Macaca mulatta: one gene and its partners. The protein of the gene in region 3 interacts with the protein of the main gene of each other region in a pairwise test. Links are inferred from orthologs where the notes say so. Each region holds a gene or a part of one and is shown on either strand. Other genes may lie near its edges.

Region 1 (4,291 bases), on a different chromosome or scaffold from region 3:
CTAAGACAAGGAAAACGGATTCAGAGCAGGAGCTGGGGGCGGGCAGACTGTGGGGCCGACACAGAACACGGAGGCGGGCTGGTGGCTGGGAGGGCCACATGTGGGCCTGGCTGAGGAGCCAGGGATCTGGAGTCAGAACCTGGAGAAGGCAGCTGGAACCCAGCAGTGGACTTGGAATTCCGCAAATGGTCCTCAAACGTCTTCAGCTGGAAGCGGCGGCGGCGGTGGCGCCTGCAGACAGGCGTGAGGAAGCTTCGCTGCTGAGGGTATTTCTCGGGCTGGGCTGATCTGGGAGGCCCAGGTCTTTGCAAGAGGAGAGCGCCTGAATACCGGCCCTTCAAGCTCTCTAGTCAGTCGGTCTTCGCCATCTGGCTCCTGAGGGCCGACAGTGTGATGAGGAGCTGGGCAGCGTAGTAGGTGGTCATGACCACCAGGCGGGCATGGGGCAGGGGCTGGACGAAGGTGTCCCAGGCCAGCACGCCATCAGAGAGTGTGAAGAGCAGCGCGCCCCAGCCGGCACTCCTGCCCCGGGCCAGGCCGCGCCACAGCATGGCCATCAGGATCAGCCCATAGGCTGCCACAGGCAGGCCCATATCCGGCTCAAGGTGCTGGAGCACAAGGCTGAGGTAGGGGCCAGAGGCCAGGATGATGAGCAGCAGCAGGCCAGGCTGCAGGGGAGAGAAGCCGAAGGCCCAGACGTAGAGAAGGTGGGTGGTGGCGAAGGCGGCCATGCCTGGTGGGAGAGGGGTGGGGTGCCAGTGAGGAAGGCCCATCCTGGGAATGGCCCCGAGGTCACCCCTCAGGGCCTAAAATAAGGGCCGTCCCAAAACACCAGGCCCCACCCTGGCCAAGCCTCCTTGCAGGCCTCCCCACATGCAGTGTCCATCCTTGCTCTGCTCAGAACCAACAGGAGGCCCCATCTTCTCTTGGCCTCCAAAGCCCCATGCCCTCCGGCTCACCAGCCACTCTGCCCGGTCACCCTGGCCTGCCTGGCCACAAGCACCTGGCACACCCGTCCCGGAGCCTTTGCACTTGCCCTTCCCCCACACAGGCACACAGCACCTTCTGCTCTGCCCAAATGTGACTTCCCCAGCGACACCTTCCTCAGCAACCCTGCTTCAAACTGCAACACCCCCAGCGGGTCCTCACTGCCCTTGCCACCCCCAGCTACTGCCCTACACCGCCAGCCCCCATCCCTCGCTGGAGCGTGAGCTGCCTCGGTCATGGCTGCACCCCCCACCGTGCCTCTGACCACCAGAGCTCTCACAGGAGCCCTCTGCACCGCAGGCTCCCATCCAAGTGCTGGGGCCTCCCTCACACGGGTATCCAGAAGGCGTCATGGCAGCTTCCGCTCACCAGGGAGGAAGGCTCCAGGCCAGATGAGGCAGGCGTCCCCCACTGCCGAGCACAAGAGGGCTCCCTGGAGGAGCCGGCTGTAGCCCCCGCCCGGGCACACGACCCACAGGAACCCGGCCAGGCCGAGGATGGGCAGGCACTTGACCAGGGCAGCGACCCAGGACGGCTGGTCCTCGGGAATCCAGAGGCAGAAGTACACGCAGCAGGAGAGGATGAAGGGGCTCAGCCACCTGCAGACATCTGGGCGCTTTGGGGAATGGGGAGCTGCTGAGCCGAAACCCAGCCCAGCCCCCGTTCTTGGGACTGAGATCTTGTGGCTCCTGTCCCACCCCTACCTGGGACCCCAGCTGTACAGGCTGTACCCATTCAGGGACCAGGCTGCCAGAACCCAGCTTCCCAGGGTCCCAACCAACTCAAGGACAGCAGCTCCCAGACCCACCGGCTGCTGGGGTTCCAGGGGCCTGGCCCCCAGCCCCAGGCACACCTCGGAAGGCTCTCACCTGGGCTGAGCAGCGAGTCTTCAGGGTCTGCCCCGCTTTGCCAGCGTCCATGCTGGCCTGATACCCCCAGAGCGACCTAATCTGGGAGCGAGTGGCTTCAGGGGGTGGCGGGGACGGCTCATGGTTACACGTTAACCCGAGGAGCGTCCTGTGGACTCTGTGACTGATAACAGGGCCCGGAGAGATGCTGTCCTCACCCCGGGGACGGCCTCGCCTGGCACCCGCTGATAAAGCACTGTTGGCATCGGGGGTCCCTCTGCCCTGCCTGCTGGGACACGGTTTCCTCCTCCTGTCTGCCTGGGGGGGGTGAGGCCCACAAATGCCCGTCCCCTTGTCCTGGGCCCAATCAGCAGAGATGGAGTGCAGAATTCCAACGGCCACCCCTTCATGAAAGCGGGGGAGGGGCTGGCTGGCAGGAGCACCCCTGGAGGGATGGGAAGGCGAGTCCGTCCTTCACTTGCTGCCCTAGCCATCTCCCTCCCTGCTCCACGAAACCTTCCCTCATTCTGCTCAACCCCACCAAGCCCTCATGGGCTCCACCACAAACACTGCTTCAGTGGGTGACGAGGAGGGACCACCATGAATGCGGCGAATAAGCACCCTCTCCTGTTAGCTGAGTGAGCCCCGGGTGACCTCCAAGCCGACTGCCATCCAAGTGAGGACACTGTCCTCATGGCCCGGTCCACACGCTCCGGTTTCCCAGCGCCGCTCACCCGTGCCACTCGCTGCACACCCAGCCTACATTTCCACCTTCCACCTGAAAGACTCAGACCTACTGGGCGCCAGAGCCCAGCCTCAATGCTGGGCTTGGTTACTGGGGGTAAGTGCGGGCAGGAGCAGGGATGTGAGCACGTCGGTGGCTTCTATTCTCTGCCCACAGGCCTGCCCACAGGTGGGGTAGGCCTGGTAGGAGCCCTCACAGCCAGCGCCTGGCCCAGCCTGGGGCCTCTGCAGCCTCAGGCTTCCCCCTGGCAGGACGCAGTGCTGGGACAGACTGGGTCAGAAGCACCCCCAGCCTCTGAGGTGCAGGGATAACAGGCTCCCCACCCCGCATCCCAGAACGTAAGGTCTGACCAGCAGAATCGTAAACTGTCTTCCTTTATTTATATTTGCAATATGAAATAGAAGCTCGGCACGAACGCACGCACACTCACACCAGCCTGGAGGAGGGAGCTGGGGACAAGGCCACTTGGCAACAGGGCTGGGACCCCAGACCCTCAAGGCCCCTAGGGGTGTTGCCGGGGAGGCCCCTGCTCCCCAGAGCCGGACTGGCCTGGTTGAAAGTGCAGGGTCTGGGCAAAGGCACGGCCCCCACTCGGGATCCTCTGGCACCCCCACCTGCGCTGGGCCGTCCCCCATGGTGGACCTGAGCTGAAAGGCCGGGTGTGGGCGTGGCCATCTGCGCTGGAGCATGGGACGGCTGGGCACGTGGGCGGCAACCTTGGGACCCCTAACACCAGCCCCCGCTGGGACGGAACGGGGAAGGCTGTGCTTTGGAGCCGCCAGCCCAGCTTGGTGTCCTCACTTTCTCTCGCTCTCCTCCCTCTCTCTATATATAATATATAATATACGTTTCTCTCTCTCCATTCTCTCTATTTGACTCTCTTTATCTTTATTCTAGGAGGCAATGCTCCAAAACTTCTCTTCTCAGTGCAAATGGGGGTGGGTTGGGCCTGTCTCCCTGACACCCGCCTCCTGGGGGTCCAGAGGAGAGAATGTGGGGGGTTCAGGGTGATGAGGGCACTGGGGGCCATCATGGGACCCGCCCTGCCCCCACCCTGGGAGATCCACGGAAGGACGGAAGATTTGGCCGCCGCTGCCGCACCAGGCAGCTATCTGGAAACAGAGGGAGACGTCGTGTGAGGGTCCAGCAGGCCCAGCCCCACCTACCCAGCCCCAGGCTGCAGCCACACTCACTGGGAGCCTGGGGATGCAGGCCCTTCCGGGGCAGAGCCATTGGGTATCGGAGGAGGCGTGAGGGCCTGGGCACTGTCACGGGAGAGAGGGGATGTGCAGAGGTCACTTCCTGCCCCACCAGCCCTGCCGCGCCCCGCTGCCCTGGTGCTCACCTCTGGCTTTGGGGAAGCCCCAAGGGCTCTGGGCTCTTCTCCCCATCTGTGGTCTGGGGGCGCTGGTGGGCCCCGGAGGCTGGGACAGAGGTAGCGGGGTCTCTGGTTGCACTGTGGGTGAGGAAAGTGCGGCTGTCAGCGTGGCCCCCACTGTCACCTGCTGACACCCTCACACCCCAGACGACTGCAGTCGGCTCACTGGGTGTGTGTCTGCCACCTGCCCCACCAGGAGGGGCCTCCCAAGGACTCAGCTGGCTCAGCGTGGAGGGATGGCATGGCCCTGGGCAGGAAGACAAGCAACCCTCTTCCCGCCTCCTGTCCCTGTGGAAGAGGCACTCGAGGCCAGCTGAGACAGCCCCAAGGGGC
Region 2 (2,485 bases), on a different chromosome or scaffold from region 3:
TCAGCTGTAGATGTAATAGATGGGCCAACAAGTTCATTTCAAAATATAATCTAAGAATTAGTTAATATTTGGAGAGAGAATTCATATTTTTATTTTTTTAAATACTTGAGATAATATTTTTTTTTGTCACTGGAAATCTTGTATTATTTTCCTTGCCTGCATTGGATGTTAGGTTGGAATGGAAGACAACCTGTAAAATCAGTCTGAAGTCTTAAGGTTTCATGATTCAAAAGATACAGCGTGGTAAACTAGGTAACTCTAGGTCAGATAATTCACTACAGTGTCTTAAATGAAGATTAGATTCTATTCTGTTAGTATATTAGTGATATGACTAATCTCACTGTTACATATTAACCCCCAGTTCTCATCTGTTGATCATATGTCTTAGAACAGATTTATGGTTTACCTACAGGTACTAGAATTCTGTGATTCTTTGAAAAAATTACTTAAGAGTAATTTTATTATGTAAGAGTATGGCCTTACTTTTCCATACTTGATTCTCATCAACTTTAAAAAATGTTAATGTGGCATAGCAAAAATGCAATTTCTGTTTTAGAATGTTACTACAAAGAGTTACTACAGAGTTCTTTATAATAAGATAACAGATGTGAGGAGTCAGTGGACTGTTTTGAATAATGACACTTCATTTGTGTTATTACTTTGATACTTGGTGAAGACTTGAAAAACAGTATTAAAGAAGCTTTTACAGTGTAATATAAGTTATATTCACCTCAAAAGAGTAAAGATAATGCTTTATATATGAAGTGAACTTGTTGGCAGTGCAGTTTCAAAACTAAACTCTTATTTCATCTTCAGAAAAGATTTGGGATACAAATTTGTGAGCCATGTTGAGGAAATCAACAGTTACATTTTATACACTTATTTTAAAGTTAATTTTTGAAAATAAAGCCCTTTTCATGTTTACAAGATCCAGCAGATGAATACATTTGCTAACAATAAGTTTTAGTCTTAATCTTGACCTTTTCACAAAGAAACTCTTCTACTCAGGAAGTGGTCTGTTTTACAGTATTGTTTTCCCGTCTGCATGGGATGACAGATTTTAAGCTGATGTGGCAAGTTGCAGATCTAGAGGTTGTAGCAGAACTTCAGAGAAGCATCACGATGATACAGATCAGCAAGAGACATATTAAGATGAGACAGAAATTGATAAATAGATTCTGTAGATTTTGACGTGCTTGTTGAGGCATTTCAATGGTTGAGGCTCTTCTTATAGCTGAGCGAGTGAGGTATTGGACTTTCTCCATGATACCAGCAGGAGAGGAAGTCTGAAGTTTTAAGTGATTGAGAGAAAGATAAAAAGCTGGTAGCCAAATATGAGATAACTGTCTTCTTTTAGGTAGCCTGGAATGTAAAAATAATAAATAGATTAGAATAATATATGTAACCTATTATCAGGACAAAAAATACAATGTTGTATTAATTCATCTTCCTCAGCACTATTGTTATTTATAACATCAAGTGTTTCTATAGTCTCTCTCTCTCTGTCTCTCTCTGTGTGTGTGTGTGTGTGTGTGTATGTGTGTGTGTGTGTGTGTGTGTGCGCATGTGTTTCCATGTGTCTCTCTTTCTCCTTTTTTGATGGGGCACAACATGACAGTCTCATTTGTGTTAGGAGTAGTAACTTCAGTCTTTGCCTTTTTCTCCCAAATTTACTACAAGTATTGCAGTAATCCTCAGTGTCATCCATAAGTTCCTGGAAACCAAGACTTTATGCAAAACAACATATAACAAAACCATTTTTACCCTAGGCTGATTGATGTAAATAAGAGGTAAGTTCCTATAGCACATTTCTGGTCACAAGAACATCACCAAACTTCTCAATAAAGACCCAAACACTTCTAATATTAAACGTTGAGAGAAATATGAATTATATGTACATTTAAGAAAGATTAATAAAAACCAGATAGGCCGGGTGCAGTGGCTCACGCCTGTAATCCCAGCACTTTGGGAGGCCAAGGCGGGCAGATCCCCTGAGGCCAGGAGTTTGAGACCAGCCTGGCCAACATGGTGAAACCCTGTCTCTACTAAAAATATAAAAATTAGCTAGGCTGGTGGCATGTGCCTGTAATCCTAGCTACTTGGGAGGATCGCTGGAGCCCAGGAGGCAGGGGTTGCAGTGAGCCCAGATCATGCCACTGTACTCCAGCCTGGGTGACACAGCAAAACTCTGTCTCAAAAAAAAAGCCAACAAAGATAATTACCCAGTATTTCGTGAATCAGTGAGTAACAGTGGTTGTGTTGGTCAATTAAAAACATGGAATCAATGTTTGAGAAATACAATGGGATCTCTGAGTGCTTTTGTGCCATAGCATTTATTGTCATGCATTTGTATGATCACCCTAGACTTTACCAGTTTTTATTTGATAATAATTTGTATTCATCCGTTCATTCATTTTTCAACCCTCTTATTCTGGTTTGGGGTGCTGGTGGCTGGAGCCAATCCCAGCAGTCAAGGAGGGAGGAA
Region 3 (3,982 bases):
TTTTTGAGACGGAGTCTTGCTCTGTCACCCAGGCTGGAGTGCAGTGGCGCGATCTCGGCTCACTGCAAGCTCTGCCTCCTGGGTTTACGCCATTCTCCTGCCTCAGCCTCCCGAGTAGCTGGGACTACAGGCGCCCGCCACCTGGCCCGGCTAGTTTTTTGTATTTTTTAGTAGAGACGGGGTTTCACTGTGTTTGCCAGGATGGTCTTGATCTCCTGACCTCGTGATCCACCCGTCTCGGCCTCCCAAAGTGCTGGGATTACAGGCGTGAGCCACCGCACCCGGCCGCAGTTCAACTATTTTAAATCACTTCATTTAGAGTAGCTTTGTATGAGATATAGATCTCATACCATACAATTCACCTATAGTGTACAATTCAATAGTTTTCAGTATTTCAGAGAGTCGTGCCACCATCACCCCAAAAAGAAACCCTGTATCTACTGGCAGTCACTCCCCATCAGGACTTTATCACTTCTGATCTGGCTCAGTCTTCTCCTTGTCAATGCCCTCCTTGTTCCAGTTCAGTACACACACCACGGGCAATTTGCTCTCCCTAAAACATATTGTATTCTCTCTCCTACATACCTTCCGATACTCCTCCAAAGAACTCTTGGATTCAAGTAAACAAACATCCATTAACACAAGTATGTTCCAGGCGCTGTGCTAGGTACTGTTAACAAAAACGGGTTAGTATTGTTAGGACTTCCTTCATGCCGTGGCACTTCTGCTCAGCCAGCTCCCTTCGCCTAGGACCTCTCTATACGACCCCGCTATATCCCCTCCCCGGAATTCCTTCCCAACCTTCAAGGACCATCTGCCCCAACTAGTGGCGAACACCGCGGCTGTAGTGACTGTGTAGATACTTATTTGACCACTTGAAACTCAACACATGTTTGTGGAACTGAACATAGGCTGTGTACGCACTAAGGCTTCTTTCCCTGGAATCGCCAGCCCACCAACCAGCCGGTCAGAATCCCAATCCCTCGACTCCAGAAATTATTTGGGAGACGGAATTTCCGAACGTCAGCAATCATAGATTTGGACGGGCTAGGAGGGTTTGGGTCTTCAGGTCACATCTGCGCGGAGAGACCTCCGGCCTCGGTGGTCGGTGCTTCCGCTCCGGATACCCTTCCGGTTCTCCGGTCGCCCAGGTCCCGCCCCGACGCCGGCCGTGACGAAGGCACGCTGGGGTGACCTCACCCTCCAACATGGCGGCGGCGGTAGATTAGGGCCGCGGGTCGGAGCCTTCACCGCCGCTGGGGGACCCTGTCGGAAGCAACCGCCGCCGCCGCCTCATTCATCTCTTCTGGGGCAGGGGCCAGGGCCAGGTGAGGGGAGTGGGGTTCCGGGAAGGCTGAGCTGTGTGAGGAGGTGGTTTTCACCTGGGTAGGAAAGTGCCCAGAGACCGTATCGAGCCACCGGCTGACTCCCCAGTGGTTCCGACGACGCGTGAGTTTGAGTGTGTGTCTGCACCGGCGCTCCTTCGCCCGAAGGTGCTCGGAACTTAGGGGTCCGCTTCACCCAGACCGGACCTGGCCGCCCGGCCCCGCCGCTGAGCAGGCTTCTCCCGGCGTGGGGTGCCGGAGGCGGAGGAGCTCGGCCCTGGCTCCACGCCGCTGTCCTTCCCCACAGACAGCTTCACGTGGAAAACCCGGGTCCATTTTTAGGGCTAAACTGGGGAACGGCGACTTCTTTTTGGTTGAGGGAAAGGTTTTCCTGCGATTCCCTTAGGACACTTGAAGATTATCTTTGCCAGTCTTAGTCGTTTCTTTTCAGAGATTGTTAGAAGTCTTGTTTCTTAACCTTAATTCACTGCTGTTCTGACACCCATTCTTTTTTCGGAAAAAAAACTGCCTTCTTGCCCTTGGAGGCAATACAGTTCACATGGAGACATTTTTCCCCTTTGATTTATCCTCCCAACATTCTGTAAAGATCCTGTTTTTTGCTTTCATAACCGACTTTTTGAGTGGAGGCTCTAACCTAGCGTTGAAAATCGGACGGATCTGTCCAGTTGTTCCCATGCTGTTGACTGATAGCTTTGGTTAGCTCCCAGCCACTCCCTGCACAAGTGTTTGTTTATCCAAAATAGCTATCTCACTGTCTCTGTTTAGAAGTTGTGAACTAAGCTGACAGCCCTCTCTCCTTACTTTTATTTTGTTGTTGTTGTTGTTGTTACGTAAAACAAAACAAAAACTTCTATAGCGAAATTGTAAGATTTCCCCTGGAGGTTTAGTATAAAGCAGAATGTTGCTCTCTGCCCTGACTTGTGTGACCTTGGATGAGTTAGTTGCCACACCCTTCAGATACATTCTTTCTTTTTTTCTTTTCTTTTTTTTTGAGACAAGAGTTTCACTCTTATTGCCCAGGCTGGAGTGCAATGGCTTGATCTCGGCTTACCGCAACCTCCGCCTCCTGGGTTCAAGCGATTCTCCTTCCTCAGCCTCCGGAGTAGCTGGGATTACAGGCATGCGCCACCACGCCTGGCCCATTTTGTATTTTTAGTAGAGACGGGGTTTCACCATGTTCGTCAGGATGGTCTCGAACTCCCAACCTCCGGTCATCCACCCGCCTCGGCCTCCCGAAGTGTTGGGATTACAGGTGTGAGCCACCATGCCGGGTGATACTTTCGTTTTTACAACCCCCCCATGAAGTATTCTTTTCATTTTTAGCCCCCTGTCTCCCCCAAATGAAGCATTCTTCATTTGGTAATAGGCAGTTAAAGGTATTGAAAATCTTTTTACTCTGAATGGTCAGGTACTATTCTGTATTTTTTTTTCCAATGGCTCATTTTTTATGTGGAAGAGTATATTCAGTAGTTGGATTCACTTTTTATTTTATTTTAAGCTGTCTCCTACAGCAAGGACCAGTAGTTGAATTCAATTGAAAGATGTCTAAGGCTATATCCAACCAGTCTTGTAAAAAAACAGACTTGTGTTTACTAGCACATAATCTAATAAACATTTATTAAATATCACACACACTAAGCTTTTAGGACAAGTGGTTTGCAACAGTAATAATCATTATTAAAAGCATTTTATTTGACTGTATGCGATGGCTTATTATAATCCCAGCACTTTGGGAGGCTCAGGCAGGAGCATTGCTTGAGCCCAGGAGTTCGAGACCAGCCTGGGCAACATAAGGAGACCTTGTCTTCACAAGAAATTAAAAAAATAAAATAAAATAAAATTAGCTAGGCATAGGTCCCAGCTACTTGGAAGACTGAGGCGAGAGGGAGGGCTGCTGTGAGCTGCGATTGCTCCACTGTACTTCAGTCTGGGTGACAGAGAGAGACCCTGACTCAAAAAATATATATATATTTATTCATTAAATATACGTGTATATATATATATTTTCGAAATGGAGTATCACTCTGTCGCCTAGGCTGGAGTGCAGTGGCGCGATCTCGGCTCACTGCAAAGTCTGCCTTCTGGTTCACACCATTCTCCTGCCTCAGCCTCCCGATTAGGTGGGACTACAGGCGCCCGCCACCACGCCTGGCTAATTTTTTGTATTTTTTTAGTAGAGACTGGGTTTCACTGTGTTAGCCAGGATGGTCTTGATCTCCTGACCTCGTGATCTGTCTGCCTCGGCTCCCCAAAGTGCTGGGATTACAGGCATGAGCCACTGTGCCCGGCCTAAATATATATATATGTATATTTTATTGTGAAATACTTTAGGCATACAAAACACACGTTTTAAACATTCACTTAGTAGTTCCAGTCTGCATTTATCATTTTTCAGACAGGATTTTGATTTGTATCTTATTCCAAGTAAATGTTCACCAAGAGTTCTTGTTTAATATATATACAGAGTAGGGGTGGGTAGCATTTTCAGATTAGTTTATTTTTTTTTATTTTTCCTCCTCAGATGGTAATGTGCCAGTGAGCCCAAGAGGTAACATGGTTTGAGGGAGTCATATGTCACGCATTAGCATGAAACCCAGTTCTTTATGAACCACAAAAGGATCGGAGTAGCTGATTTT

Evidence for each region. The genes of interacting proteins can lie anywhere in the genome.
Region 1: the proteins of BCL2L13 (region 3) and TMEM86B interact in binary tests that used the Homo sapiens proteins (3 or more experiments, as listed by UniProt). The two-hybrid records come from large-scale screens. The link is inferred for Macaca mulatta from reciprocal best matches to the Homo sapiens genes BCL2L13 and TMEM86B.
Region 2: the proteins of BCL2L13 (region 3) and PLN interact in binary tests that used the Homo sapiens proteins (3 or more experiments, as listed by UniProt). The two-hybrid records come from large-scale screens. The link is inferred for Macaca mulatta from reciprocal best matches to the Homo sapiens genes BCL2L13 and PLN.

What each region holds. Positions count from the first base shown.
Region 1 is NC_133424.1:67,556,569-67,560,859, forward strand, and holds the start of TMEM86B (lysoplasmalogenase TMEM86B), read right to left. Parts: upstream 2,801-4,291; 5' UTR 1,908-2,800; coding exon 1,857-1,907; intron 1,604-1,856; coding exon 1,357-1,603; intron 734-1,356; coding exon 351-733; 3' UTR 1-350. Other genes in the region: PPP6R1 (serine/threonine-protein phosphatase 6 regulatory subunit 1), read right to left, coding at 3,689-3,692, 3,774-3,845, 3,926-4,036. UniProt on the Homo sapiens protein: Catalyzes the hydrolysis of the vinyl ether bond of choline or ethanolamine lysoplasmalogens, forming fatty aldehyde and glycerophosphocholine or glycerophosphoethanolamine, respectively and is specific for the sn-2-deacylated (lyso) form of plasmalogen.
Region 2 is NC_133409.1:23,533,096-23,535,580, reverse strand, and holds PLN (phospholamban), read right to left. Parts: upstream 1,347-2,485; 5' UTR 1,266-1,346; coding exon 1,107-1,265; 3' UTR 501-1,106; downstream 1-500. UniProt on the Homo sapiens protein: Reversibly inhibits the activity of ATP2A2/SERCA2 in cardiac sarcoplasmic reticulum by decreasing the apparent affinity of the ATPase for Ca(2+).
Region 3 is NC_133415.1:34,438,092-34,442,073, reverse strand, and holds the start of BCL2L13 (bcl-2-like protein 13), read left to right. Parts: upstream 1-1,182; 5' UTR 1,183-1,328; intron 1,329-3,861; exon of another isoform or gene 3,862-3,966; intron 3,967-3,982. UniProt on the Homo sapiens protein: May promote the activation of caspase-3 and apoptosis.